Linked DNA regions of Lepisosteus oculatus. The protein of the gene in region 1 interacts with the protein of each later gene in a pairwise test. Links are inferred from orthologs where the notes say so. Each region holds a gene or a part of one and is shown on either strand. Other genes may lie near its edges.

Region 1 (15,204 bases):
GTGTCACTTCAAACCCAGAACGTGCTACCCTCTCCTTGGCGTAAAACCCAACATATCACTGTGCCCTACACCACCATCCCCGGCCTCCTTCACTAGATGTTGTGTAAAAAAAGCATCCACAGATTTAAGCACTATGGGCTCTGGAGAGGACTTTCCAAAAGCACCGCAAGGAGAGGAAACGCACTGCGCAGGAAGATCGCCAGTGCCAGAGAGCAATCAGGCCCAGTCACCACAGAGCACCTCATTTTCAGGGCGCTGGCCGAGAGCCTACAGGACACAGCTTCCTTGCTGGGTTGGGACAGGAAGTTCACCCCCTCCACGTTCACGCCGCCTGCTTCTCCGGGTGGCTCTTGAGCTTGTGGAACTTGACGCTCTCCAGCTTCTCGAACCTCTTGCCGCAGTGCTCGCAGGTGAAGTTGTACTGCACCTCGGGGGTGTGCTTCTTCATGTGCCAGTTGAGGGAGGCCCGCTGCCGGCACTGGTACCCACAGATTTCACACCTGGGCGAGGGGGGGGGGGGGGGGGGGACAGAGCGAGCCGTCAGGGGTCATGATCGCTACAAGGCGGAATGTGCTTTGTAATGCAACTACAAGACCTTTGTAATAACAGCTATATACGCTCAGATTTGAAACAAAAAACAAAAGTAAATAGATCTTAATTATGTATAATTAATATACATACATCGATATGAAAAACTTGAAAAGTCACAACTGCGTAAGTATTCAAAACCTTTCCAGCTAACAGATCGGAAAGTTTTGAGACCTTTGGGGGTACAGAGTTGCCTTAATGAGCTACACTATAGGTGAAGTGACAACAGTCTGTGTGCAATATGAGCAGCTAACATGGTTACAGACTAAATACAGCTCTCCCTGTTAGACAGATAGATAATACTTTATTAAAGGTCAGGTAATGAGTTTCTAGTTAAGATTCCAAAATGAAAATCAAACCTCCTGGGACTCTCAGAACGGCTTCATCACTGTCAACAGAAGACTTGACTGGAATTCACAGTCTTTAATATGCTTAGTGTGCCACCTGAATAACCATATCCAAAATTCAATCACCTTATCATTTTTAACTGGAAGCAAGTTGGCTCACTCACATTTGTTCAATGGATCAGAAATATGATGCATAATTTTAAAAAATCAGATTTTTAAAAGCTTGGCAAACATTAGTGAAATATTTTGAGACTTTGAGCTTACCTTCTACACCCTAGATCTTAATCTGTCACTAACTGGCCACAGAGATGATATCCGTTAGGACTGGCCTTCCACTTTTTTTTTTAATACCTAGAGAGTTAGTGTAATTAACTTTATGATGATCTTTTTTGATTTTTTGTGTCTTCTGTCCTTCAACTCCTTTTTGCAAGTGAAGATTTGGGAGAAATGTGGGAAGGGGATGGGAATTCTGTATTTTTCTTTCTCATTAATTCTTCCTGCATAATACACTGTACCAACAATCTACATGACCTCTGACATTAGTTTAATATGCAATATGCAGCATGTATTTTTGCTGGTGTGAAAAACAATAAAAATACATGGACAAATTACTAAGATGATGATTTTTCCTGCTTTAAGATTTTTTTCCATTGCAATTATTTTGCAGGCATAACATAGAACACTGCCTTTTACAGAGAAGGCTTATGTCTGTTTCAGCTCAACTGGATAAAGTGGCTAACTGCAACAACTTTTAAATTTAAAGACTGACAGGATATCAGCTGAAGCAGTCTTTCCGGGTTTTGATCTATGGAGTGTGCATGCTGCTGGGGTTTCGGGAATTGAGGGATACTCACTGCAGCGGCGTCTCTCCAGTGTGTGTGCGGCGGTGAACCTCCAGGTGGTTTTTTCGCTTGAAGGACTTGCCACAGGTCTCACAGATGAAATCCCGCACACCTGGGGGGGGAGGAGGAGGAGGGGCATGCTGTCACTGTTACCAGATGCCACATGACCATAATCTGATTGTACTCTGGTCCTGGAGAGCCACAGTGTCTTCTGGTTCTTGTGCCAGCTCAGCTCTGACGTCAGCGATGTCATTGGATCGATCAGTTGCATTAATAAGGAGGAATTAACATGCTATACAGATCCCGCACTTGAAGGGGAATTGCAGTTCCAATTCCTCAGACCAGTTATTAAATCTCAGTAACAAAATAAATTAATGAACTTACACATTTTTAATTAAGCACGAAAACCATGAACTTTGTGAAAGTACTGCAAGATTGCCATTGCATCACAAACCCCTGGTCTCACCACGGGCAAAAGTGAGGGTCGGTGACAACTGTGACTTAAACCAGCCCTTCCTGCTCACTAGTAACTATAATGACTAATGTAATGGGATGTACAAGCGAATTAAGTACAGGTTGCGTACCAGTCATTTCACTGCAGAAAGCTTCCAGCTTGATCTGTATGCAGAGTTAACAAGTAGTATTTTGCTGGCAAAACCATCCCAAAATCAAGAGTAATATCTGTATTGGATTCAAAGAGATGGATTAACAAGCCTGCTTGTTTACAATGTAATAGAGCTGCATCATCTCACCGAATGTTTCGTTGTCTCATTTCTGAATTTGCAGACAATTACAGCAATATGATGCTGTGCATACCTGGAAATTTGGTCTATTTTGTGATGTAAATTGGAGGTTTAACATGTGATGAGTGCATTTCAAACTTCAATAAAAGTAAAATGTACACAGTAACTTCTGATTCTTTCTAACCCACAACAATTAAAATAGTGTTGCAGTTGCCCTTTCAGTTTACCCATAAAACCTGCAGGACTGCATCTTTACAGGAACTCATATACCTGTACTACACAAGGAACTACAAGACCTGATTTTAACATGGAATAGATTTTTGCATTTTATTCTTCATTTCTTGTTTGTCCCCACTGATTGGCAACACCAGGAAGCTTGCCTAAGATCCGAACCATAAAAAAAAAGGTTCAGAATAGGCTTGCGAGATCTGACATCACTGAAAGATAGCAATTTAGCCATCCAAGAATCTCATTAAGACTTCTTCAAAGTTCCACAGAAGTTAAACATCAGATCAATGAAGAGAAAGGATGGCTGTTCCTGGTCTTAAGGAAATGGCTGGAACACACAGATTAAAGGAATTGAATCTCTCTAGTCTGCACTGCTTGACTGGGTACGTGACAGAAATATTTAAAACACTGAAAGGTTATTAACATTCAATACAGATTACTACTATAGGACCAGCAGCGAGACAAAAACATGAGTGCAAACACAAGGGTCAGGGTTTAGATGACAAAAAACACAAAAGGAATCGATTTCCCACTAAGGGTTGGAGGGATTGGGAACAAACCCCAGAAACGTCAGGACACACCCACGCCGAGGGCACTGTAATGAATGCCTCTGTGCGGGTGCTCTTGGGGTTACCTGAGTGAATGATCATGTGGCGGTGCAGGTGATTGGAGAGGTAGAACTTCTTCCCACAGCCAGGGTGCGGGCAGACCTTCGTCCGGCCCTTCCTGTGGACCAGATTGACGTGGTTCTGAAAGGGAGGAGGGTACAGGAAGTGGGTCAGACGTCCAGTATGGACACTGGAAGCTGCTTCTGGAGGGTCTGTCACTTATAAATGGGTGCCTGGGTGAAAGTTCTAGTTTTATATACAGTTCCTGTTGTTGACAACGCAGTTCAGTGTAGTTTTTAAAACAGGTTTATTTCTCAAACCTCTCTATAGAAAAAGAGCACGGAGGCACTAACATACCCTCAGCTCAATAGTGGATGTATTTGCCTTTATGTTTGACACAGACTTTCAACATTCTTTTTTCCAAGGAAACTAAGCCATTTCAAGGCAGATAGAACCACCTCAACACTGTTAAATAAAGTCTTTTATTGCAAGTGTTATTAACATACTGTCTCACATGCTGGTTTGGTAATATCAGTACCACTGATTGCAACAGGCTTGAAAAACTAGTCAAATTAAGTAACAAATTAATTGGGGGCAAATCGAATCACCTTATAAACAGAAGGTGGCAAAGAAAGCAATGTGTATTATGGAACAAGTAATAGGTTTATTCCATACTGAAAAGAGAAGAAAGAAAACAACGTTTCGGCTGCGGATCCTTCTTCAGGTGCCTCACACAGCAGCCTAGGCAAGCTGACGCAGCTCCCCACCTGAACTACTTCAATGTGTATTATGGATTGTTCCTCACCCCCTTCACTGTGGGTTCACACTACTCCCATTTGGGAGACACCTCTGTGTCCCCAGGTGAAATACTAATAGACACAGGAAATCTTTCTTTCCCAGTGCAATATCTCTTTCAAACAATTGACCGTAACCATCTTCTGCCTGAACCCAGTCCTATCCCAGAAGTGCTCAAACTCTCAAGCTGCTGCTTGTGGCATCCCGGTCAGGAATCTACTTGTGACATGAAGTTGGAACTAACGACACTGAGATTACAGGGCTCACCCTGCTCTCCCCCCCCAATCAAGAGCCACCACAGACTTGTTTTTAGAGAAGATTCAGCCATAAAAAACAGCAATTAAAACCACATAGTGATATAACCCAGCAGCCAGCAGCTATATCACCCTGCAACTCATAACTGGCAGCCCTTTGTAGTTCAGCAAGGTGTGAGCCTGGTCAGTACCTGGATGGGAGACCTCCTGGGACCAATTAAGGCTGCTGCTGGAAGAGGTATTAGTGGGGCCAGCAGGGGGTGCTCACCCTGCGGTCTGTGTGGGACCTAATGCCCCAGTATAGTGACGGGGACACAACAGTGTAAAAAATAAAAAGCACCATCCTTTGGATGAGACATGAAATTGAGGTCCTGACTCTCAGTGGTCATTAAAAATCCTACAGAAAAGATCAGGGGTGTTACCCTGGTGCCCTGGCCAAATTACCCCCTGGCCTTTACCAATCATGGCCTCCTAATAATCCCCATCAATTAACTGGTTCCATCACTCTGCTCTCCTTCCCAGTAATATCGGGTGTGTGGCGAGAAGACTGAAGAACTATGGCTGCCCTCGCATCATCCTGGTGGTGGTGGTGGAGTGGAGTACCTCTAAAGCACTTTTTTGTGGAGTGTCCAGAAAAGCACTACTAAGTGTAAGGAATTATTATGAATTATAACCCCCATGAAACAACTAATTATAAACTGTAATTTTGCATCACAGACTTGTGCGTAAAATAAGGTTCCCCCTTACCCAGGGGGAGTGACAGGCAGCCCGATGGAAGTGCATGCGCCTTCACTTTCCTCACCTGGAAGCTACTGATGGCCACGTACACCTGGCTGCAGCCCTCATACGGACAGTGGAACATCTTCAGCATCCCGTCCGCCTCGATCACGGGCCCCCGCCGGCTCCTCTTGGACCTGTAGCAAACCGCACAGGGAACAAGGTCATACCACTTCCACAGGCCAAGACACAAGCCACCCCCCGAGGCACACGCGCCACCCGAATCCCCTGTCTCCTGCCGGGCAACCCCAGCACCCTTGAGCGTTTCCATCAAGATGGCGGATCAAAAAAATACCCTGCCTTTGAAAAAGCTAAATAGGTCATATATTTATGTCGGACAAAAATCAAAGAGTAAGGAGAAGCCAGACTCATTCTCTCTGGACCCAGATGGAGAAGAATAACAGCCTATTTAAAAAGCATGTCTGCTTCACTCTTGATCCCTGGCACGAGATTGCCCTGGCACTGTCCAAAAGCCATTTTCTTAATTGATTTCCTGCGCACAGTCGATATCCCAGAGAGACATGCAGCCCTGAGCTGGGGTCACCCAGAGGCCCCTGCCTTGTCGCTCATCTCTAAACTAGAAATATGGTTTGTTGGGGTGCCATTGGCAAAGCGATCTGAGGGTCTTTAACAATCAGCCACTTCTTGAAAGAAACCGGGGCATAGATTTCATCCACATCAGAGAAACAGCGTTACCCACCTCTGAAGCCCACTCTGGATCTCCTTCTCCTCAGCCGGCACGCCCAGGCCCTCCAGCTCCAGGTTACTGTGCACCTCCTGCCTGCTGCCGACAGCTGCAAGCGCCAAGGCCACATTTTTACTCCCCCCTCCGTCATAACCACACAAGTCCAGCAGCGTCGCCAAAAAGATTTTGGAGTTTTAAGAAACAGGCACAGACAGACAACCGTTTTCAGAAATTCATTAGCTTGGGTTTGCTAAAAAATAAGATGTGAGGTTAAAAGGATGGGCACAGTTATGTAACCAAGGCATTGAAAGTTTTTTTTAATTTGTCGCTTGAATATTGTTGGTTACGAGAACTAATTAAAGGTGAAAAAAGGTCTGAAATGATTTGTCTTGATTTCAGCCTTTACATCTACAAAAGCTGAAATCTCAATAAGGGTGGGTAGACTGTTTCTATATCCTCTCTATTTTAACTGGATTTTCCTCCAGGTTTGTTAAAAGGCTCTGATAAAGAGAATCCACTAACCAGATCTGTGCAGCAGGGATTATATAGTCTACAGACTACTCTCAGACCAGCTGTTGATAAAAAACTGCAGAATTTAGATCTGAACCCACCCATCACGAGGATAAATTAACAGCTCATATGATTTCTCCCAATACATTCATTGTTTGTTCACCTTTTCTGTATCCCATTATAGTTTTACTAATTCTATGTTCTTTCTGCCTAGGCTACTCACATTAGCAGGTTAAACATCTCATTTAAAGATAGAATGGCTCTTTGCACACTGGCCTTCAATACACAAACACCGTGAACTGAAACACCTGCAGCTAGGCACACAGGCAGCAAAGATTAAGATCTCATCTACATAAACACACAAAGGAGCTGCAAGGTGACAACCGCCAAAGACTGACCTCTAGCAGTGTCCAAGCTCTGGACGACGCCCCTGTGCCCGAGCCCAGAATCGCAGACCTGGTTATACGCCACCCCCTCGATGACCGTGCAGGTCATCTCTTCCCCCACGCTCTCGCCCACGTTCAGCTGCAGGCCCTCTGTGGTCAGGGCCTCATAGCTGGGCCCTGTGATGATGATCACCTGCCAGGAGAAACAAGGAAACTGACTGAGAGTCACCACTCCCCCTCCCCGTAGAAACAGGTGGGAGGGACGGATCAGCAGTCCAAGACTGGTACAAACAGTTACAAAACCCAGAAAAATACTGAGCTTAAAAAGAAGGATATTTTAGGACCAACAGTGAATCAAGGAGACCACTGATTAAATCAAAGAACATAGGCTTATGGCTTAAACAGGGATTATTATAGGAATCTGGGCAATATAAGATAGCCAGTAGTGTTATTACAGCACACTGCCAGGGAACCTAGAAGAAAAGCATGCATGAGATCCTCATATCAATCAGCAAACCAGAAACAAGTGGGCTAAAGCTCTCCTGTTTGTATCCTTTCTTACATTCCACAGCAGGCATGCAATCAGAAGAGGGAGCGAGCCAGTAAAGAAGATGTGTCGACTATGAGCTCCGGAACAAGAGGAGGCCAAGACGTTTCGAGTTGCCTCGTTTCAGTGGATCCAGCTCTGATTGAGGGAAATGGGAAGGCCATGGGTGGGGGGTCCTACCTGGGATCCCTCAATGGCACCCTGGGCGTCGGGGATCTGACAGCTGGCCACCACGGTCTGCAGAGTCTGCTGGTCGTACAGCTCCCCGCCGCCGGTGATGTGCATGGTGGGGGGAGGAGGGGGCGCAGGGTGGGACGGATCCCGCCCGGAGTCCTCCGCCACCCCAACCCGCCCGTCTTTGACTGCCCTGTCCGTGAGGGCGGCAGTGACCACCATGCACTCGTAGTCCGTCTCGGCGGCCAACGCGCCCCCTCCCTTCTCCTCCTCCGGTCCCGCCGCATGCCGGCCCAGGGCTCCGGGACCCGATTCCGAGGATGCCGCCGCATTTTCCGGCTGCCCAGGGGGCTCGCCGGCCTTGTTGCCCTCCAGCACGGCCTCCCCCTCCTCCAAGACCACCTCCATGTTCCACAGAGACCTAGCCGCCGGGGAGTCCGCGTCGGCTTCGCCGGGATGGCCCGGCGGAGGCCCCTGACTGTCCTGCGCGATGGGCTCTGCTCTGGCCAGCTCGCCATCGCCGCCCTGCAGGCCCTCCGACATCTCCTCGGCCGTCTCCGTGGCGTCTGCGGCAGGAGAAAAGGGAAAGAAACCGTCACAGTCAACCCACGAAGGATGTACACGCAGAAATGTTGATTATTGTTGGCTTTTGGCGTCGGCTTTAACCGGTTCGGCCATTCACCCAGGTGGCACGCAGAGGCCGTTTTCCTCCTGGTGCAGGGTGCCACCCTGTCGCATGGCGGCGTGTCGGGCTCGGGCTCGTTCTCCGACTCGCTGGCATCCTTGCTGGGAGAGACCAGGTGCTGCATGTAGCCGTGGCCGGCCTGGCACTGCCACACCGCCGTGGTGGAGAAGCCCAGCACAGGCTCGAGGGCGTGCAGCTGGGGCTCGTGGGGGCAGGTCTTCTGGTGCTCCATGTACCAGCTGACCAGACTGCTCAGACAGTTCACATTGCTCTTCTTCCCTGAGGGGACACAGGCACAGACAGTAAAGCGCACGGCACCACTGTCAGTACTAGGTCTCTCTACTTCTTACCCACAAACACCTTTCCTCCCACAATCCAAAGACACGCTGATTGGTTAACTGGCTTCTGGCAAAGTTGGCCCTGGTGCGAGTGTGTGCTACTGTGTCCGCCCTGCGACGGACTGGTGTCTCGTCCAGGGTGTGCCCTGCCTTGCAACCAGAGCTTGCTGGGATTGGCTCCTGCTACTCATTGATCCTGTATTGTATAAAGTGGTTAGAAAATGGATGGATGGATTAATGCTTCAAGAGTCACAAGATTAGATGCAGGGTGTTTGGAGGGCTTAAATCTTAAACAGCTTAAATATAGGTCTTTGTAGCTTATTTTAGATATTATTTTAAATAGGAGTGTCTTGATAATACTAAGAACGATGTGCAAATTGTACAGGGCTTCTATTATTGTCTCACTTCAGCCACTCAAATTATCTAAAAAGCTTCAAGACCATGTTACAAAAAAAGTAACTATTTTAGCACCGAAATGTGCTCATTGAAAGGAGTTTGCTTTTACTTGGAAAAACGAGAAAATATTTACTGAAAAGTATGGGATACGTGCAGACATCAAATTAAAACAGCAACGGGCTTTAGCACATTTCTACAGTTCAACTACCTCTTGTTACCAACTGTTTTTACTAACCCCTTTTTGGTTTGACACAAAACTCCGCACTCAGCTTCTTTCTGAAAGACAAGAAGAGGGTTATGATACAGGCTATGGTTTAGACAGCAGTAAGTAATTGAAATAATTCAAAGAGGTCATTGCATTTTCCTATCCCCTTGCTGTAAGGTCAGTAGGACATTTTCTCACATCTGATGCAACAAAACAGTCTGAACAGACTAATGTGTTAAAATACCACAAGAAAACCCACACTGATCAGCAAGGCAAAATGAATAAGATTAAACTCTGTAAAATTAGAAATGGTTCAACGTGCAATGCAGTTTGGACATTACTTGGCTCACTCTAGCAATGTTTTACAGAACATTTATAGCTGTACTGCAGAAGTTACAAATGCAGATATCAGTGAGCAATTTTTCCTGGGTGAGTCAAAATTCGGCAATCGTGATGAGGGATTTAGGCGAAATATTTCAGTGCATTTGTAGGGGAATCTGAAAATCACTAGATTACGCTTCAGATCAACTAAAAATCCATGTGTTTTGCAACATAACATCTGAGCCAAGACATTTACATAAATAAGACATCTACAGTAATAGCACAGATGGACAAAATACCACTGTCACAACAACTAAGGTTAGATTAGAATTGACTGATTGGGAAGACTTCTCTATGAAGAAAAAAAGACTATAATGAGACAAAATTTATTGAAAAAATAAATTATCATATTGCTAGCAGCCAAAGTACCTGGTCGAGAGAGCACAGGGTTATTAAACTGAATATTAGGTTTGCACTAGTTCTGGTCGTGTACCATTTAGTAAGCTTACCCTTAAATGAAGCATGTTCTGCTCACAAGAATAATAATAAAATATTTTTTGTAAATGGCTTACCCGCCGTATTTCTGCTGGTACCTCTCGCCATAAATCGAGTCGAGCAGGATTAAATACTCGGCTAGTCCGGCGTCGCTTAAACTGGTCCGCTTCCGAAGTTCACTCCACAGTTTGTGCGACTCCCCGAGGTACACTCGCCGGACGTCGTACTTTTTCCGGGACTCCAATCGCCTCTTAGCTCGGTCCGTGTCAGTGAGGCGAGGACGTCCCCGACAGCGCCGCAGAATCGCCGAAATTTGGTCTCCAGCCTCCTGGTCTAGAGACGTCTCTTCCTCGGCACTCATGTGCGCCATCTTGGTCAACAGCTGTGTGTATGTTTCTGACCTTACCGGAAATAGTCAAGGTATGCGACTTGACCTCACCGGAAACACTGCTTGCAGAAAAATGATTGGATAGCGGCAATATATTTATTCTTTTTACTTTATTTCAGTACACATATTCAGTGTAATCACAAAATTGAAAGAACAGCATGGGACAAAACCAATTCCTCTGGCACTGTTTTTAAAAGTGGCAAATGCCGAGAGCGCTACAATACTGTTGTAGGCCACACACTGTTTTTTTCTTTTGATTAATCGAATCATTTCGCTCTAGAATTGCTGTACCCACGCTATTTCTCCTTGTACCAGGTTAGGCTGTAACATTAGTTTCTTCTTCGACGTTTATCTTTAACGCAAGCACACGCTAAGAGTAACAAAAAGTTCAAAACCGACTTTTCTTCTTATTATATTTTTAAAGCAGTCTGTCTGGATAACTTTAAGTATTTAATTTTTTAATCCTAAGCAAGGAGCTACATTTAATCAAACCAGAGAGATTCAACAGATCAACGAGACAACTGCATTTTTTTTAAATGTCAAAAATAGCTTGCACTTTAAAATCTCCGTTATCAAGGTGTCGTGAATATGTCTTCAAGTAAAAGGTGCTGCGGTTTAATCCTACGTTTCTTTTATCCAATGGGAACTCAAGACACCTGACATACGCACATCTCGCCCTATAACAGCTCGGGGGCGGGGCCTGACACAGCGCGGGAAGAGTTCACGTGTGGGTTTGTTTTCGGACCGAGCGGAGACAGGAAGTTACTCCCTTGTCGGCTTTGTTTCCATGGTAATGGCAATATGGCAGAACTCTTGACTTGGGTCTTCGATCGCTACAGTCCTCGGGGACGCGAGTCGTCTCCTTCTCTTTCTCCTCCTGAGGGAGAAGCCCGCTCACTGTCTTGTATCCTGCTGGGGGGCCGGGGTTGTGGCAAGACGTGCCTTCTGTTTCTAACAGCGGTGATGGCGGCTTCCGAACTGGGGCGGAAAGTCATCTTTCTGAGCCCCACTCCGATCCAGACCCTCCCTGCTCCGCTGATGGAAGCGCGGGCAGGCTTGGACCCCGCTAGCCTGAAAGTAGGTACCGTGCACATGTCTACGGGGGCATAAAACTTCACTTTGACGCTGTGTAGTCAAGGATATTGAAATGATTAACACCGGCTCTTACCCACGTCTGTAACAGAACTCTCAAATTTATTTTGATTTTTACAGAACGCAGAACGTGTAGTAAATATTGATAGACTGTGTCTATTACATCTTTTTTGTCTTCAGTCTGTTTTCAGTCTTCAGTGTATTAAGTATCTTTAAATCACTCAATATAGGTATTTCTGTCTTCAGTCTAGTAAATATTTTAATAAAAAGCCGTTGGAGACAGAAAAGCAGATGGCATCAGTTTCCAGCCTCCTTGGAGCCATCCTAGAACTAAGCAGATGAGAGCAGTCTCTGTCCTCTGGGGTCATAGCTCAGTCTCACCAAACGTACACGCCTGTGTCACCCTTCCAGCCATGTTCTCACTGCTTGCTCTAATTCAAGGTTGTGGGGGAGCTGGAACCTATCCAGGCAAGTGATGGGCACAAGGCAGGATACACCCAGGACGGGACGCCAGTCTGTCTCAGGGCACACACAGACATAAACAGATACACACTCACCCCACGGCCAGTTTTCCCAGAAGTCACTTAACCTATCAGTATGGTTTACGGTAGGGCTAGGAGGGACTCTTTCATTGTGCAAATCTGGACCCTTCATCCACTTGCAATGAATGATAATGGACACCTGACTGAGAAATGTGTTGGAATCTATACTTCTTGTGAGATGTTTTCTTTGAAATAAAGTTTATTTTGATTGAAAAAAAAATCAGTATGGTTTTGGACTGTGGGAGGAAACTGGAGCACCTGGAGGAAATCCACATGAACACAGGGAGAACATGCAAGCTCCACACAGACAGCACCCCAGAATTGAAGCCAGGGCTTTATTGGCAGCAGTGTTCACCACTCTTCTACCGTGCTGACCTACATTTCCTAACCACAACAATAATAATTATTCTTCTTATTATTACCATTATTATTTCTTACACTTATTTAGCGCTTTCATCTCATGATGTCCCCTCATGCATTTGCAGAAAATCAAGTTCGTGTACCCCCGGACGGCGGAGGAGCTTCTGCGGGACGTCGCGTGCCTGCACGAGGCAGCCGGCGCGCCGCCCTCCCTCCTCATCGTCGACGGCTTGGAGCGCTACCTGCGCTGGGGAGGGGAGGGCGAGCAGGCGCACCAGATGGCCGCGCGCCTCTCCGCCCTGCTGTGCGACACCGCCACCTTCCTGAGCCGGGCCCGCGCCGGGGCCCCCGGAGACCCCCCCGCCGAGTGCCAGCTCATCGTGTCCTTGGATACCCACCCGGAACGCGGAGCCGAGGCGTCGGGCAGCGATTCGGTCCTCTCCGTCTTCGAGCGCTACTTCCCCGTCAGGTGCACGCTGGGAAGAGACGCCAGCTGTGCAGGGACAAGAGCTTGCCGGATTTATTTCTCCGGTTTCCAGCAGACGGAAGGACGGGACTCTGGACTGGGACGCCAGTGGGAGCTGGTCTATACCCCAAGCGGAGCCATGGAGTTTACCCCAATCCCAGAAAAGAGCCAGGAATGAGATTCCCTTGTGGCTGGAAATGCACAAAACATTTATTCACTTATTTGGCCTAAATGTCTTTTGGATTTTGGAGGAGGTTATGGGTTTTGTGTCCTGTTGTGTGTGGGCAGGCTATTGAAACAGGGCAGTCGAGCACAAAAACAACAGACAAACTTAGAAGTTGGTTTATATGAAAAATCACATTCCTCTCATCCTGTTCGCAGCCAGCTCCTGATTGATCATTCCAAACTTTCCTGGCTATTCTCTTCCATCACCTGAAAATAGAAGCCTATAATGGCTCACCTGCGCAGATTCCCAGGCTAGGAATTCTGGACCATAATCCTGGAAAAGCCACAGTATGAAATAACCAAGTCGTACATTCAGGCTGGGAAAGTTTCAGATCCATACGGGTCCAAAAGAACTCTTACAGTGTACTTGAGTCATCTGTTATTCACACAGAGGGGGTCGGGCTTCATTTCTTTATTTCTAACAGAATGATCGGTATGCGCTCTGTGGGCGATGCCTCACCTGATAGTTCTCTCTGTATTTCCTCAGCACTGTCCTCCCGAGCTTGTTGAAGTTGAATTTTTTTCTTATGAAGAGCTTCTAGATACTTGAACTGAAAGATGAAGGAAAATACAGGGTTAATCAAAATGCGGTCGACAACTTTGATATTTACGCTTTTGTTTGAAACCTTTTTTATCACAGTAACCCATGTAATTAACGGTCAGAGTTTTTTAACAGTTACCTTACAATCCTTCACCATCTGTGGAGGAGAAAACAAAACCTTAGTAAAACAATTGACATTTATACTCGTTGACAACATTTTGATTAACCCTGTATATATTATAGAACTTAACATACATCAGCATGGTCTGACATCAGTCAGTCTCTGGAATCGTGGCTTAACTCCTTGACACCTGCATAAGCTCTGGCCCAGAGATTCACTGTGGTTCAAATAGAGAAATGAACTAACAGCTCAACATCCAGTGCATTCTTAAAACTACCCTGCTATCAATAACTCTGCTCATTATAAGCCATAACCATTGAGTACTCTTCTATACAGACCCCTCTGCCACCACCAATGTGTCTCTCTCTTTGATGATTAAGATACTGGATTATCCTGCCAGGGGTATTTAACAGATAATGTCATCATTTCTGAGACAGAGTTGTATATATTTAGGATTTACTCTCTACCAAGTCGTAAATATAGTGCCACTAGAGCAAGGCAATGTAACTGCTGCTTGCTAGATTAAGAGAGTGTCTTTGAAGAGAAGAAACATAAGTTACAAAGTGTTGTTTAATGCATTTTTTTGGAGACAACACATCCGTGAATACCCTGACAGCAGGCACAGGATTGCAGCCTTTCCGTCTACAACATTACTGTGCATTCAATATTGAATTGGACCTGGGTCTTGACCGTGAGACGTCATTCTGCTTTTGTAGTGAAATAACCAAGTGACGTGCATAAATTGCACAGAAATAAAAACAATGCATATTGAAAAGGGTTAAAAGAATGTCAAGATCATTGCGTGGTGAAACCAGAAAGGAATCATTCATGCAGATGTGTCTGTGAGGCGTGTCCATCTTGTCCACCAAGGCCTTATAAAGGCTTTGTCCACATAGATGGGAAAGCATTGAATAAAGACTGCTCGATTCGTCTTAGGTGCGGCAGTGGTGGTTTCTGTCCCCATAAGCTCCACTTCTGTGACTGTTGTGCCACAGCACGCCAGCAGAGGGCGCCACAGTCGAGAAATTCAGCTTTCTGAAACTGTGTAGTCCTGACCTTGTTTTTCATTAAGGCACACTCCCTGGACTTACAGTATGCTCCCTCCCTCTCTCGCAGATAAGCCGGACATGGTCTCCTGCTTGCGCAACAGATACAGTTTTATCTTTCCAGAGAACACAACCGCACGCTCTTGTGCCAAGAGACTCTGTTAACTGAAACACATCCTTATAACCTCCAGTTTAACAAGCATTAGAGCTCAGGTCTACAGTGTAGACATCTGGCACCAGTAACACACAAGGAGAGTATGAGCTTTTGAAAAGCTAATTGTTTCCATTCCATACTGAAGTTTCTATCTGTACAGTTTTAACAAATAGTCCCTCTAGGCAGTTATTTCACAGAAACTTTATTTCAAGTACAACCATTTTTTTATTTTTAGATATAAAAAAATAAAACAGCTGAGTAGCCTGAGCCATGAAGTTTTGAACAGACATGCAGGTACACTCCTGCTTTTGTTTGCAGAATGATTCATGTATTTACCCAAGTAAC
Region 2 (15,408 bases), on another chromosome or scaffold:
TTGTTTGATGTTCTGTAATAAGGGAAACCCCAATTTGTTTTCAAACATTTCACAAGAACAGTTGTTGTCATCTACCATTAAGTAAACTCTTGAAATATGTTAAGAAGTGTGGAAATCTGGATAAACCCTATCTGATTTGCACATGCGGCTGGTGTTGAGTCTAATTTTATCATAATTATGGCAAATTCTGCATTCCAATGGAAGATTTAATCTATGTATTTATATATTTTAAACTAAAAACAGTCTAACTGGTTAATTTAAACACAACTGTCTTAAATTTTGTTTCTTTGAATATAGAATCTTAGCAGTCATAAATTGCAGAGATGCAAGAGAGACGCTGATATTCTTATAATGTAGACCAGGCAACATTTGAGAGACAGAGCTTTATAAAGATTGGTGGGGTTCAAAACTAGTGAGCAGAAATATCTGAATTGAAATTAATCTCTAGGCAAAGACTTGGAAATGCTCAATTTACCTCCATTGTAATGAAAAGATACCAAAAATCCCCCTCAAAGCCCCTGAATTTTTTTAAGTCATGAGTTCAAAGTTTGCTTTTGCAGCTTACTGCATTAATCACATGTGCATTTAAATGTTTATCACCTTAAATATAAGATTGACAGTAGAAACAAATAAATACTGAGTAAAGTATAATTTTCATACCATGACTATCATAGTTATGGGGTCCTTCAGTGAGTAATCAAGAAACATAAACAGCTAGATCTGCAGATTTTGGCAAACACATAAGGATGACTAATTAAGTGAGGCTGGAGCCTACTTCTGGGACAAGAAGCAATGAAGTGTCCAGACTGGGATTTATCTGGGAACAAGAAGTTGGCGTCTGACTAGAGTAACAAGAAAGCAGGACAGTAAAATCCTTTATATACTGGGAGTCTTTCAGCTTGTTATTTTAGACTTGCAAAAGCATATTTTGTGACAAATCAAACTTTCTGATTGAAAAGTCACATTAAAACACCCACAGGGTAGGGAGTGTAATCAAATACAGATGACACGACTTTTTAAAGCATGTTTAACTGTAGCTCAAAAATGGGGGGGAAAACTAAAAGGCTCGAAGAAAAACATATAGCAGGATCCACTTCAGCTCCACATCACCAAAGGATCCTTTCATATAGTTTGTGTACCATTAATTAACAGGACTAAACTCTAATTCTTAGTGCACGGAGCAGGAAGTGGACCACGGGTATCTTATTGGCAGATAGCACAGCAGTCTCTTTTTCTAATGTGCCACTTGGACAGGTCTAAAAAGATGTACTGCTGACCTTCTCCATAGTGCCCTCTCTATATCTCCACAAAGCCAGTTTCAGCAGATGGCTGAGATTTAGTGGAATATGGAAGAGGGACTGTTTACTTCATTTTAATCTTGCATTTGTTTTTGCTTTGTTCAGCTGTGAACATGCATTGAAGGATTTTTGTGTGCTTACATACAGAAAAAAAATATAATAGAACTGCATACAATCATAACCCTGTATTGTATCAAAAAATGATGAATAAATACATTGAAAAGAATGAATAAAAAGGCTTTTCTTAAGTTATTCCAGCTTCCACCCACATTTTAAAGACATGCCAGCTAGGTGTACTGGGGTCTGCAAAGTGTTCCTCTGTGTTTGTGCTTGTGTTTGGGTCCCGCAACAGGCTGGCATCTCATCAGGGTCAGAGTCCCAGCTTGTGCCCTGCGCTTCTGGGATAATCTCTAGATTACTGCCACACTTTTCAGGAATAAGCAGCTTTCCAGTAATGGACAGATGAATAAAGCTATCCCTATAGCAGGGTGCCAGTAATTGTGCACACAGATGAAACACAAGAACACTGTAAATTGGACACAGAGAGAGTTGAACAGCTGTGTTACAGCTGAAACTTTATGAAGTCCTTAGTAAAAATTATATTGCTTATTATTTTAAATAGCAAAACAGGTCTCCTGTTAAGGCACCTGTTAGAAATAGGTATGTGATGCATAATACTACAGTCAAAATGTACATATGCAATATGCACTATACATCTCTAATTATAACATGTTAGAAACAAGTTGTTGTAAACACAAAAGTTATTAAATGGTTTAAGAAAAGCCATACTCACACCAAAAGGAGTTCATCTGGAACTGGAAAAAATAAAGCACAAAAGCAGAGTTAGACTTTAATATGTATAAAACACTGTTTACTATTTTACACTGCAAAATGATGAGACATTACACTGCAAAAATAAATTAAGTCTATATGATCAACCCAAGCAGATTAACCTTTGGAATTTCTGCTGATTATTACTGGATATGTATATATTTACCATCTCTATTGACTATTTTGTGAAGAAACATAAGGTTTAGAATTTGAATGTAGTTTTAATTGCAACACATTCCTGCTATATTGTTTGGAAAAGAAAGAAGCAGGCACATAAAAAACTCTCTAGTGTTCAAGATAAGAAAACACTTATACTATTTTTTCATGAGAAAGTTGGTCATAAGAATATTGCTTCTCCAGCCTTGCGTTTAACAAGACCACATAGGTCACTTCTTAGGAAACAAAATCAGTGGCTCATCAACAAACAGTCTGTGGCTCAATTTCAATTCATTCCAGCTTTGACACATCAGGCAGTTCTAGGAATAACAGAATATGTAAGTGATAAAATGCTGGGATTAAGATATCTGTATGCTGCTTGTTAAGGCTCGGTCTCCAGGATGAGGGAGATAAACGGTCTCATAAATTTTTCTTTTGCCGCTGTTGATATAATTTAATCTAGGAGAACAGGCACTCAAAAAGCGTATTCTTATTCCGCACAAAAAAATGTTTTAAAAACCTGACTAATTATGGAGAATGAAGGCAATCTATAATATGTCCAACTAAATTGTGCACCAGTTCAAAAGTACTGACATCAACTAAGCAGATACCAGCAGGGGAAGTCACATCAATCAGCGTAAAAATCTGTCAGTGTTAAGAATGCAAAGCTGAAAAAATAGCAAGGTTTCCTGTTTATCACTGCCACAATTGTGTTTTTTTCGTTAGAAGACGGGGTTTGGCAGTACCAGCACTCGGGTTGCAAAAGGAAAAGTGTTTCTTCAGCCTGAATACACTGAAGGCTGCTGTGAACGCTTGCTGCAGACTTAACGGCTTTCTTGTCACCGAAATCCCCCATCGTGACTGAGAAGGAAAAGGCAGAAAAAGGAAACTGTCTCTAGACATCGCTCCGTTTGTGTCCTTTTACATGTGTTTTGTCTGCAGCTTTAGAAGCCTTTAAAAAAAGAAACCTATCAATCATTTAAATGTTGCTGAACCGCTAAAATAACTGCGCCGGAACAAGAAATGCAGAGCTTTGTGAATACGTTCTACAAAGGGTAATTCCCAGAACTGGAAATCTCACAGGCCCTGCAGTTTCATCAATCCACGGGAGTCTGTGCACAAAATTACACACATCTGCCTGGTCCTTTTCTTTTTCAATGGCTGTGGGCCTTTCCCACAAGAGGAAACCTCATCAAATGTTTTTTTAGGCTCTAAATGAAATTCACATGGAGGTCCCAGAACTGCAAACGGACTCTGTGAAGACCGCTCTGGCACAGCACCTCACAAACTGTAAAATCTGAATTCCAGGCACGCAAAATTCCTCAGTGGGAGAACGTTAAAAAAAACTAAGACTCGAAAACCAGAAGCTGTCCCATCACTGTGAACCACTGTCTAGATGAACATTCAAAAGGGGAAGACAAGACTAAAATGCAGATCACGTAAAAAACAGTTTTAGCATAAATCATGCTGCTTTTAATGTCATAATGCCCCCCCCCCCCAAAATGGAATAAAAGAACACAGAAAGAAAACAATACTTTTTAGACCAACTACACCCTGTCACCCATCATCTCAAATATTTTCTTATTTAAAGTCTGATACGTTGCTTTTTACGTAAGAACACACAACAATTTCTGACAAGTATACGGTTTTGAAAAGGTTGTGGTCCACAGACAGGAATAGTTTTCTCTCTCGTCTACAATCTATCAAACGCTCAACCAACGAATTGAACAACAGCGACCTCTGCTGGAAAGCATAGGCATATCAATTCAGTGCACTGTAAATCCAGTCGATTTTTTAATCACAGTCCGACTGGGCTCCGTTTGACTTCTTTGTGCGTGTTAAAAAGTATGAGAGGACCTGAAAATTGCTAAAACCTTCTGTGTTTAGTTTGTATCACCAACATAAAAAAACAAAAACGTCTCAATGTCCACTGACCAGATTCCCTCCTGGACTTTACAAATCATGGCCTTTCAATAATCCCCATCTATGAACTGGTTTTATAGAAAAGCACTAGATTAATAATAATATTATTATTATTATTATTATTATTATTATAACACCTTACACTTATATAGCGCTTTTCTGGACACTCCACTCAAAGCACTTTACAGGTAATGGGGATCCCCTCCATCATCACCAATGTGCAGCCCCACCTGGATGATGTGACGGCAGCCATAGTGCACCAGTACTCTCCCCACACAGCAGCTCTCAGTGGAGAGGAGAACAGAGTAATGAAGCCAATTCAGAGATGGGGATTATTAGGAGGCCATGACTGGTAAGGGTCAATGGGAAGTTTGGCCAGGACGCCGGGGTTACACCCCTACTCTTTTCAAGAAACGCCCTGGGATTTTTAATGACCACAGAGAGTCAGGACCTAAGTTTTACGTCTCAACCGAAGGACAGCATAGTATAGTATCCTCATCATCACTATACTGGGGCATTAGAACCCACATGGACTGCAGGGTGAGCGCCCCCTGCTGGCCCCACTATCACCTCTTCCAGCAGCAGCCTTAGTTTTTCCCAGGAGGTCTCCCATCCAGGTACTGACCAGGCTCACACCTGCTTATCTTCAGTGGGTTGCCAGTTGTGAGTTGCAGAATGCTATGGCTGCTGGCATATAAGTGTATGGATTATTTATTATTTATTTAAACACATGACAGTGTGACACTGTACTTACTTTGAGATGTCTCCTGGTAAGCTTTCCTGATGTCTTTCAGAACTTCTTCAGCCACATCAGGCAAAACTGTGGACATGTTTCCAGACCCTGCAGAAATACAAAGAATAATAAATATCTCACAGAAAGCAAGGTATTAAACCAAATATTGGAAGTGCTTCTGTAGAAATTATTTTGCTTAATTACAAACTTTGACATGCATAATTCTACAGGTTTAGAGCCTAAATGTGTATTAAAAAGTTATTTAAAATTAGGGTAAATTGCACTTACGATACGATACAGTATTTATATATTTTGGAAACTTTGTTTTTACTGTCATTACACTTCACACTCAGATACCTGCATAACCATTCATTTAATAATAAATAACACTGTTTGAGTTACAGTTTGTTTCGTTAGCAAACCTTGCTCAAAATCATCATTACCACCAATCAACTTAAAACGATGTAATCGATATACTGTGGAAAGTCGCATGTTTGCACTGATTGTGACACCTGCATCCACTACCCAGTAACTGTCTCCTTCATGCTACTACTTACGTGATGCAGATTCACAACAGAAGACAATCCTGCAGCAGGACATTCAGATAATTTGCAGTAAAATTTACAGTTTCCGGGCTAACAAGTTACATATTTTGGTGCAAACTACCGTTAAGAAGAAAAAAAAACATTGAGAAGCTTACACAATTTCTTGTTGATGATAAAAACTAAAGGTTTTAACAAATTTAATGTAGTCACACGCTTTAACAATGGTGCCCTTTAATAACAGCAATAGACGTTTTCGCTAACCAATTCGTGAACAACCGTGCTCAATTCGATAACCAAGTACATAAACGATATTTTTAACATGAAAACAAAAAAATTAAGTTAAGCAAGAACGCTCTCGCGTTGCTTGCGTATTATGTTTTCTTTCAAACTACTAAAAATGAAAAGCTCATAACTAGTTACGTCTACTAAAAGTACACGTTTTTTTCAGTAGCTTTTCATTCATGTATTTTCATTAGTATTAATTTCTCTCAAAATTAAAAAGAACTCAAAAACATGAACTTACCGGGGAAACGAGCTCGTTTTCAGCGCCTAACGACGTACAAGCGCAAGGAATCCTGGTCATTGTAGTTCAGATTGTAACGTCCCTTGCGAGACTCCCTCTGAGAAAACTACATCCCCCGTCGACAATCTCGTTCCCCGGAAAACATCGTTTTCCAGTCGTTACAAGTGGTCGGAAGTTCAACATGTGATGCGTTTGATAATGTCTAGCTGGCTATCTTACGCATTGACACAAGACGTCAAACAACGTAATGTGCTTGCTGTTGTATTACTGAATATATTCACATTCTGTCTTCGCTAAGTATCTACATTAATTTAAAACTAATAAAAACTTGATTAACCTTAGACTGTAAATCTGTAATATCTGCTGCTTGTTTATACGGTCATTACACTTCACACTCAAGATATCTGCATAACCATTCATTTAATAAGGGGTGCAAAGGCATACAAATGTTCTGGTCACTGACAGGAGTCCAGAATACATCCATTCAAACACGTTTTGTGTTTATTCTGACTAAGAACCTTTGTGCTCTTGTGAGGATCATAGTGCATCTTGCAGGAATGTTCTGAAACGGTGAAGAGTCCTACAGAAAGACTGAGTTGGAGTGAAATACCAATGACAGCCTGCTAGTGAAGCCGTTTCCTGTACTCATCTTATTGGTGCACTAGGGAAGAAACCTGCTTGACGCTGAGTACATGCTGATCCATTCCGGACCTGCTGTATGGGTCCTGACAGAAGCTCAACATCAGATTTGAACAGTACAGCCCCTTGCATGTCCCTGTCACCGAACAGATACAATTGAAATGTTTGGAAACCAGCTAGAAGCCCTTTTATAAAGATCACATCAGATCAAATTAATTGGCATAGTCCGGGTTCTGTTAAACGCTCAGTGGATTTACAGACAGACAAACGTCTCAGACTGAAACTGACACAACAGCATTTCATCTGCAACTATAGGTATTGATGTCTTTCATTCACCTAAAAAGCAAAGGCAGACACAAACAAACTATGCAAGGAAAGAAGTAACTTCAAATTATTTATTTTTTCAAAAAATGTTTCCGATAACATTTTAGAGGCCAACTTTTACAAATAGATTGTGTTGAAAAAAACAAAACTGTTAAGTCCCAGTCCCTTCCACAAGCCTTCCCTTTAAGAACATGTTTTTACCCATATTAAGGTATTAAAGGTTACAAAACATAATTTATGAATTGTCTATAATCTGTATTATGTGTAAAATGTACTTCATTAATAAAAACATTAAGAGTATCAATAAGACGATACTATCTAAACCCTGCTGATAGTGCATTCACGAAAGGCAGATTGTATAGGCTATAGTAATACTTGATGTTTCAACAGCTTCTTTTACATTCACAAATTGTCTGCAGCCCATAAACTGCTACCGAGCACAAACACTTGCATCAAACACGTTGAATGTGACTTCAGCCTGAATATAAACCATTAAATATCTCCTTTTTTATTCCTTCATTCCTATAGCTGGTTCAGATGTTCACGGCTGTTGGCATAAATTGGGTTTTCATATTTTACACCTGTAAGGGATAAAATAGAAACTGTTAACCTGGAACTGTAAGCTGTTACATCAGTTGCACACCATGTAACCATACCTGAATTTAATGACAAGGAGGTAGCAAAGTAACTCTTGAACTAGGTTATCAAATAAAATAGAAATAAAACAGGTATATGTTTATTCTGTTGTTGTTAGTCTTTAAAATCTAAGAGCTAACTACTCCACAAGACACAGTATAGTTCTCACAAAATAAAGAACCCAAGGCCAGATGATAGATAAACAGATCAAATGTGGTACAGACAATTGCAAGGTGTTTATGAGGCGGTGATCTCTGCAGCACTAGAACACTAGTGTGTCCAACAACAGCCTGCAGAACGCACAGGGCCAAGCAGTCACAAGGTGCTTTTGCTGATGCTTCCTTCATGTTCAGGCTGGTGCTGTACTGTCACACATTTACTACTGCTATGGCATTTTATGTACCAGGTTTCTACGTGCTGTTACTTATTTGCATCAGCTATGAGTGGGCCAGTCACCACATCCTAAGGTGCCCACTCTCAGTGAGACATCGTCTGCAGGATGTGTGGGGGGGAGGGGCCAAAGTCAGCTCAGTGGTGCAAATGTCACAGTCCGGTGCCAGAACATCCGTGCATCTAGATCACGGTCTTCTCTCGGCACCACAGAGTGTTTGGACACTGGCAGCTGAAACAGGGATTCTCCATCCGACTTCCTGCCAGGGGTCACGGCAACCTGGAGTCTATCCCAGAAGCACGAGCGGGGCAACTGGGAAAACATGATCCTTTGCATGAAAAAAAAAACAAGACACACAAATTCCCCCCCCAAACAGGACCTACTTTGTTCTCTTCTCTTCTTGACCCCCTCGCTTTCTGTAACACAAAAACACAAGCATGAGGCTTTCTTTTGCTCCGGCTGCTGTTACTGAGGAAACGGAATACATTTCTGAATTTCTTTCAGCAGCTTCCAGTTGACAACACAATCAAGTCATCAGTACGACAGCGCACAAACAGATCTCAGCACCTACTTTTCTTCTCCCTTGCTCTCTGGGTGTCCATGCTTTCGGAGAGCTCTCGTTGGTTGACTGTAATAAAAACAAAGACGAAAAGCAAGGTGAGGAAGCGTTTTTTAAGGAATGAAGACATTCTAAATTAACTAAGCTACCTATAATGAGTGGCTTTATATCATCTCTGCATGTGCCCCCTTTCTTAGGGGGTTAATTCACACTGAATTTTCACCCTCCCCCACTCATTCTCCATTAAGGTATGTGTTCCACTTCCTATATGATTTGGAGGAAACAATGTTTTAGGGCCGACCCAGTGACTAACTCTCCAGGGATTCAATCATATTCATTTGCAGGCTCAGGGTATACCCCACCACTCCCTACAACAGATAGGGGGTTCACAGGTCTGGGCCTGGAGACTCGCAGAGCTGCTGCTTTTCAATCCAGCCCAACAGCATTGCTCAACCGAAGCTCTAATTGATGTTAACACACACGCTGAATTTCAATGATCTAAAACTGCTCACATGCAGAGAAGAAGAACTGATCATACCATAATCGGGTTTTGTTGATTTTGTTTTCTTTACTCCGCCAAAGCCTGTAGGAAAATTAAAGACAGTTGAAAGGAATTGATTAATGACCGCCGGGAAAGGCCACAGGTGATGGCCATGGAAAACACCTTCTTTGATCTCTGATCCTTCTCGAGACCTCTCGTACACTCAACAAAACAAAAAACAGAAACATGCATGTTATTATGGATATTATTAACATGCATTAAAATGATATACTGTATATTCAAATAATCCCATGCTTGCAAGTCTTGTCAGTATACCTCGGAATTGTGGTAATAATAATGCAGTAAAAAGGAAACCTAATCCCACCATTGATTATGAAATTAAAATATAAAACTGAAGTACTGGTGCCTTACTCTGAGTAATGACTGGATCTCTTCTCACATGCTCCCTGTGTTCTGGGTCATGAAGGCTGTTTTCTTAATAATGGGGAAAAGAATGGAATTCACTGGTAAAGCAGTTAAAAACAAAAACAGTAAAAGCTTCCGTTGCTGTGTTTTTAGTTATTTGCCTTGTGCATTTCCTGCAATGCATTAAACTGGTGAAAACAATGTTTTTTCACATAATATACAGTAAACACAAGGAATTCAGGTTCTATTTTAGTCCCATAATAAACTATATTGCACTCAGCCACTCCCTGACAACCTAGATATTTGCATGCCAGTGAACACTTCTCAATCACAGAAACACACAAATACTGTACATTTAGACTTACCATAGATAGTCACATCCATGGTGTTTTCTGGAACAAGAGGCAAAAGAGCAGCCATGAAAGAGACATTAAAGGAGATTAAGAATCACTGTTTTGTAAATGAAGCTACTGGAACTCAGACATATAAAACGGAGAGCAGTAAAAGCAGGCAACTATGTAGTTTAGAGACTGCATAAGGACAAACACTGCCTTGCATGTGGCTCTATTCAGACAGAACCCAGAAAAGAGAAATAGAAAACCTTTGCCCTCACTCTCCTTTTTTGCTCATTTTAAATGTCACTGAAATAAAAGAGGAGTAATACTACTGATTCTTGTGAGGTTCAAGGGCTTCCAAACTGATTTGAGGCCGTTCGGAAGAGACTACCACAAGGCGGAGACAGAAATCTTAACAACGGTAAGAAAGTGTTGTTTTCTGTGGTTATTGCACAAGCTACTTTGGGACTGTGAGCTGGGAACATGCGGCTTGAGCGAAAGAAGGACTTTATAGATTTCTTCTAAGGACTTTGCACCCTCTGGTTTAAAAATGCAGTGATGAGAGCACTTGTGAGCTGAGAAACATTATATCCACTGTCATGTTACAGGTCCCCACAGTACTTCTAAATGCACTGTAAATAAAACATTTACTTTAGAACAAAAATAATCTGTAGATCCTACCTTTATGAAAGCTCATGTTTCCATAAATAGTCTCCAATGACTGACCTAAAAGTTTAAAACCAACGGTAACTCCTTTTTTCATTTTTGCCTTTGGATGCTATGCTACCAACACCTTCATAAAGGCTTCGTTACACAATGTAATATACAGAGCCCTGAATCTCCTGAATCTCTCAGAGGAAAGACTGTGGGCTTTAAGTATTTTAACTTGCATGACATCTCATAGTAGCACTTAATGATTTAATAATTTTTTTTTATTTAATAACTCGTGAATTTCACAATACGAGGATACATTTCTCCAGAGTTTGAGACAGACAGCCATTACCTGCTCTGCTGTTCTTACCGTGACCAAGATTCCTAGGATATGAATCAAAAGAAAACATATGAAGTTTACGTCTGTAGTTGAAGTAAAAGAAAGGTACAACACTGTAGTGTTAACAACAGCTTCAAGCCCTTTAAAGCCCTGGGTTTACCTTAACAACAAGAGAACTACCACCACCAGCAACAACAATACAAGAACAGGATGACCTGCTAATCCAACCATTCTTCTGAAGGTACACACCACAACAACAGCTTGGCTGTTTTCTGCAGAGACTGCTTTTTCATGGGTAGGTCTTACGGGAGAATACTGATATAACAACAAGAAAGCGATCTGAAAATAAACTGCGCAGGTACAACAAATTACTGGTACATACTTTGACGGGTCAGCCAGGCGTCTGCAACCTTTAACAGAGAATGAAAGTACAATAATCCAGTTAGGCAGCTGAACACAGAGCCATGCTCAAAGCATGAAAACTCCAGGCAGGATTCTAAAGTCACACCTACATGAAGGAGGTACACCTATATTAAATCATACGTACATGACGTCCCAAGCTCATGGGGTAAATTGGCTGTATGGTGTGATTTAGCCTTCAGGTCTACTGTACCAATGGCTCTATGTCCCTTAAAAGCCCTGGTCACATCAGAAACCAAGGAAATGTTTCAAAATGTGGTGGAAACAAAGGACTAGAAGAGATTGTGATACTGATGTATCCTGTCCCCCTTCACTATCTCAGGTATTGTCTTAGTTTGTCTTTCAGAAAAGGGAGGCCTGGGAGGCCCCAGTATGAGGCAGGCTTCAGCTCCAGTGGTCTTAGTCCACTGGGACTCTGCTTCTAAGCCTTTCAGAGAGAAATAAGTCATTTCAAAGTGAACAGACATCAGGAGGAAGAAATGCTCACCTCTTCGCCGCAGACACAAAACGAAAAAGGGAAGGAGTATGATGACCCCCAGTCCTCCTGCTGAGCCGATGACGTACCAGCTCTCCCAAACCGAGCTCCCAGAACCTAGAAAAACTATATTGGACTGACATTTCATCCACTGACACCGGACTGACTTCAAACGCAGGGTAAGAAGCACTGGAGGAAAAGCACAACACTTCTTGCACCTAGTTACACTGTTTTGTTCACACCAAGATAACTCTTGCGCCTGATGTTTGGTAAGACTACACTTCAACTGAAAAGAAACTGAATTAAGGATTTTATAGGCTATGAAATTTATTTAAAACTGCATTATCTGTATGGCAAAGCACCTGTTTATTGACTACTCTTGACTCATGTGTTTTGCCTCAACTAACAGGACTAAAAAGGTGATGAGAAGTTGGGTCACAAAAATTCCCCTTAGCTTGTCTTTCAGCTCACTAAGGAGTTCTGATGGATCTGTTGTATTTACCTGGGCTGAACTCAATCCCCTGAATTTCCAAGCAACTGCGACCAGCTAAGAACTTGCAGTGATATGTGCCCATATCATGCGGCTGGAGCTGTTCGATGCGGATGGAGAAGTTGCCCTTCTCTGACAGGCCCGGGAAGACCCTGAGTCTGCCCTTCTTGTTCTCCAAGAAGCGCTCGCGTCCCGACGACAAGATTTGAACCAGACTGGTCTCGGAATTGGAGTTATTGAAGGTCCACACTACTTCCCAATCCTTGGTCTTGGACTGGTTTAGCAAGCTGGTGCTGAAGTTGCACGGAACCAGAATTCCCGAATCCAAGGCGGCTTCAACTTTGGTGACCTTCTGGGGTTTCACTTCTTCACAGCCGTCTTGTGCTGGAAGGACGAGATGGGGAGACAGGAGAAAGGAGCATGGTTTTGCCATTCCTGTGCAGATCAGGATAATGCCATAACCACCAGGCTGTTAGCGATCTCCCCAAATTCATGTTTGTGCTTAGAAAAGAAAAAACCCCAAGGGCGTCTGTTTCTCAGGCCTGTGAGCTATAAACCATACGCAGCGGTTTTCAAAAAAAATATCCAAGAACACATATTTGTAGGTGAAAACACACAAAAAAAATCTGATTCACAGCAGCTACCTTATCAAATAACCAAAAAACTGTATCCTGTATACCGGTAAAACAAAAACATGCTAAGTATAAACTGAAAACAAACAGATGCCGGATACCCATAATCCTGTTATTATTAATAGAACAGAGATCATCATCATGTCCCAACTTGCATTTTGCCGTTATTCTTAGAATTATATTTTAAAAAACAATGAAATGTTTTGTGCAGAAACACCCCTTTTCGCAAGACGTACAGAAAAACCACAGTTCACTGTTCTGCGCCATCTCAAACGTCTGTTCAAAGCAACTGCTTCAAGCCCTTTGTTGACATAGAAGCTAAACTCACTCTTCGTTTATTACACTTTAATGCCGGCCAAAATGGCTATGGTTTTAACAACAGAAACCATCAGATGCTAACCAATTAAAATTAAACCTATAACCCATTTTGTCCACACAACATTTGACAATCATGGTCTCCACATCTGATTCTTGCATGTAGATACTGTACATTTTCCTTCCCCTCGTGTACTCGGCAGTTTAAACAAAAGCTTTGAAAGTTCAAAAGACCAACTGCTTACCTGTGGCAAGTACTAAAGCCCAGTTCACAAATACCCAGAAAGTGCAAGGTTTAGTGTTATCCAGCAACATCTCTCAACAAAATCTGATGAAAGCTTGTGCACCAAGCTAAAACAAATGTAGAGCAGAGCTCAGGTCACTGCAGACAGAGCAGAAACCACAGTTTATCACACTACAGAAGACGAAGGAAAGACCATATTTTGGTCATTTCCTGATCACAACTTGCCTTTCCACTCTCCACGTTGCAAGTATTAGTTTCCGCCATTACTTTTTTCAAGATAAGTGATGCATTTGAAGTTTTAATTCCCTTTGTACATTTTCTGAATTATTTCAGAAAATATGAAACATATGAAAATATGCTTCATAATATTTTTAATACTCATTCCTGCAGGCTCTCACGTCATGACTTCTGCTCCTTATTCAAGCAGCAAGCCAGCAGCGATGAATCTCGGATGTCTGTGTTTTCCCTCAGAGACACACATACAACGCAGGGATCGAAGGAGGAGGATAATAAGAGTCAGTTTTAATCAATAGTTTAATGAGATTCGAAGACGAGCCCAGGACTCGGTATCGAGAAGTGTGCTCCTAGCGCTGGGAAGAAAAGAACGGAGGAGAGTGAAACCTCTCGCGAATGTTATGAAACCTGTCAAAATCTTTTCGCTGGGGCACCCTTTAAACAAACAAAACAAGTCAAAGGTTCAGTTTCCAGTCTTTTTAAAGTGTTCCAGTAATAAGATGATCTGATTTTCAGACACTCAGGACATGTTTATAGCAAACAGACAGGCCTAATGCTTTCATCTCACTTGTGAGCTTTCATTCTTATGCTGCCTCATGTAACAGTTTCAAGGCCCATGTTCAGCATACCACTGGCTTTATTTCAGACCGAGCGACTGCGCAGAGCCGAGCAGGAAATGAGTGCTAATGGGTCACCACGCTGGGCACGGCTGCACAGCTCCACTCAGAGCAGGTAGATTAGAAACCAGTATCTGATACTGTATCTGATTGTGGCGAAAAATTTCCTGTGACATTTCTAAACAGGTCATACCAAATGACAAAAGCAGTTCAAACTAAGGAGACAGACCTAAGTTTTAACTTTTAACATGGGAACAAAACCACTTTCCTCAAGTCAGGCAGAAGTCTATTTACAGATATTCTGATATTACTGTGTTGAATCCGCTTCATCAGCCTTTGATGATGACATCGTATATCTTCTATTTTATATGCTATATGCTCGTACCTTAAAGCGGTCATGAGTAATACACTTTTTGGCAGCCAATCATTACCGTTGTGACTGTGCAGTTAAAAAAAAAGGAACAGTAACATGCAGTACGAAAAAAAACCAAGTGAGTCAAAAAGATGTTTTTCGAACATTTTACAAATTTAGCTTATGTTCAGATCTAATTCTACCTCAGTCCACATTATATGAACTTTAGAAAACACATGCTGCTATTAGAGATTTACTTTTGACAATGGAGGAGTTAATTGGCTTCTGGGGAAATTGGCCCTGTGTGGTGCATCATTCCTCGAACCCGTTTGCTTGGCGAGTTGGGCTCCAGCTCCTCTGAGACCTTGGCTGGACGAACGGGCTTTCAATGTTGATTCAAAATCAATGTTGTTGAATGATTTGCGTGACTTCAATCACGTTGCACGCTAACAAACACTTCATTTCACATATTGTGTTTCCAGTATTCTGTCCTGGCTTTTTAAAAAAATCACATTTGTTTTCCAGTTGAGAATTCCATCTTTTAAACTTAATTGTAACTATTCTTTATTAATTGAACTGAAGTGATGTAACATGAAATCCAGCAGAGTTAATATCATACTTAATCGTGAGGTTAGTAAGTTGTCCTTTTATCATCAGTTCTTGGCCTACGCACCTGTACAACTTGAAAGGAGGGCTCTGTGCTCTCTTAACAGAGGTTTCTTGTTCCTGCTACGGAGTTGCTTGGACTAGTCTTCCACGTATACCTGCCTCCCTGACCTCTTGGGAATTCAAGACGGTGGCGTCTTCATGTATCCCTGGCTCCTATCCAAATCAAAAT

What was found.
Region 2: the proteins of swsap1 (region 1) and zswim7 interact in binary tests that used the Homo sapiens proteins (3 or more experiments, as listed by UniProt). The link is inferred for Lepisosteus oculatus from reciprocal best matches to the Homo sapiens genes SWSAP1 and ZSWIM7.

The regions. Positions count from the first base shown.
Region 1 is NC_090706.1:17,208,240-17,223,443, forward strand, and holds swsap1 (ATPase SWSAP1), read left to right. Parts: upstream 1-11,024; 5' UTR 11,025-11,113; coding exon 11,114-11,389; intron 11,390-12,431; coding exon 12,432-12,950; 3' UTR 12,951-13,291; downstream 13,292-15,204. Other genes in the region: znf653 (zinc finger protein 653), read right to left, coding at 323-500, 1,790-1,889, 3,383-3,497, 5,208-5,319, 5,883-5,976, 6,776-6,956, 7,491-8,050, 8,167-8,448 and 2 more. UniProt on the Homo sapiens protein: ATPase which is preferentially stimulated by single-stranded DNA and is involved in homologous recombination repair (HRR). Has a DNA-binding activity which is independent of its ATPase activity.
Region 2 is NC_090721.1:4,204,965-4,220,372, reverse strand, and holds the start of zswim7 (zinc finger SWIM domain-containing protein 7), read right to left. Parts: upstream 5,742-15,408; 5' UTR 5,542-5,741; coding exon 5,499-5,541; intron 5,050-5,498; coding exon 4,963-5,049; intron 2,114-4,962; coding exon 2,092-2,113; intron 1-2,091. Other genes in the region: uncharacterized protein, read right to left, coding at 7,495-7,553, 8,383-8,415, 8,571-8,627, 9,097-9,141, 9,472-9,534, 9,831-9,857, 10,482-10,526, 10,804-10,835 and 4 more. UniProt on the Homo sapiens protein: Involved in early stages of the homologous recombination repair (HRR) pathway of double-stranded DNA breaks arising during DNA replication or induced by DNA-damaging agents. Required for meiotic progression, hence for fertility.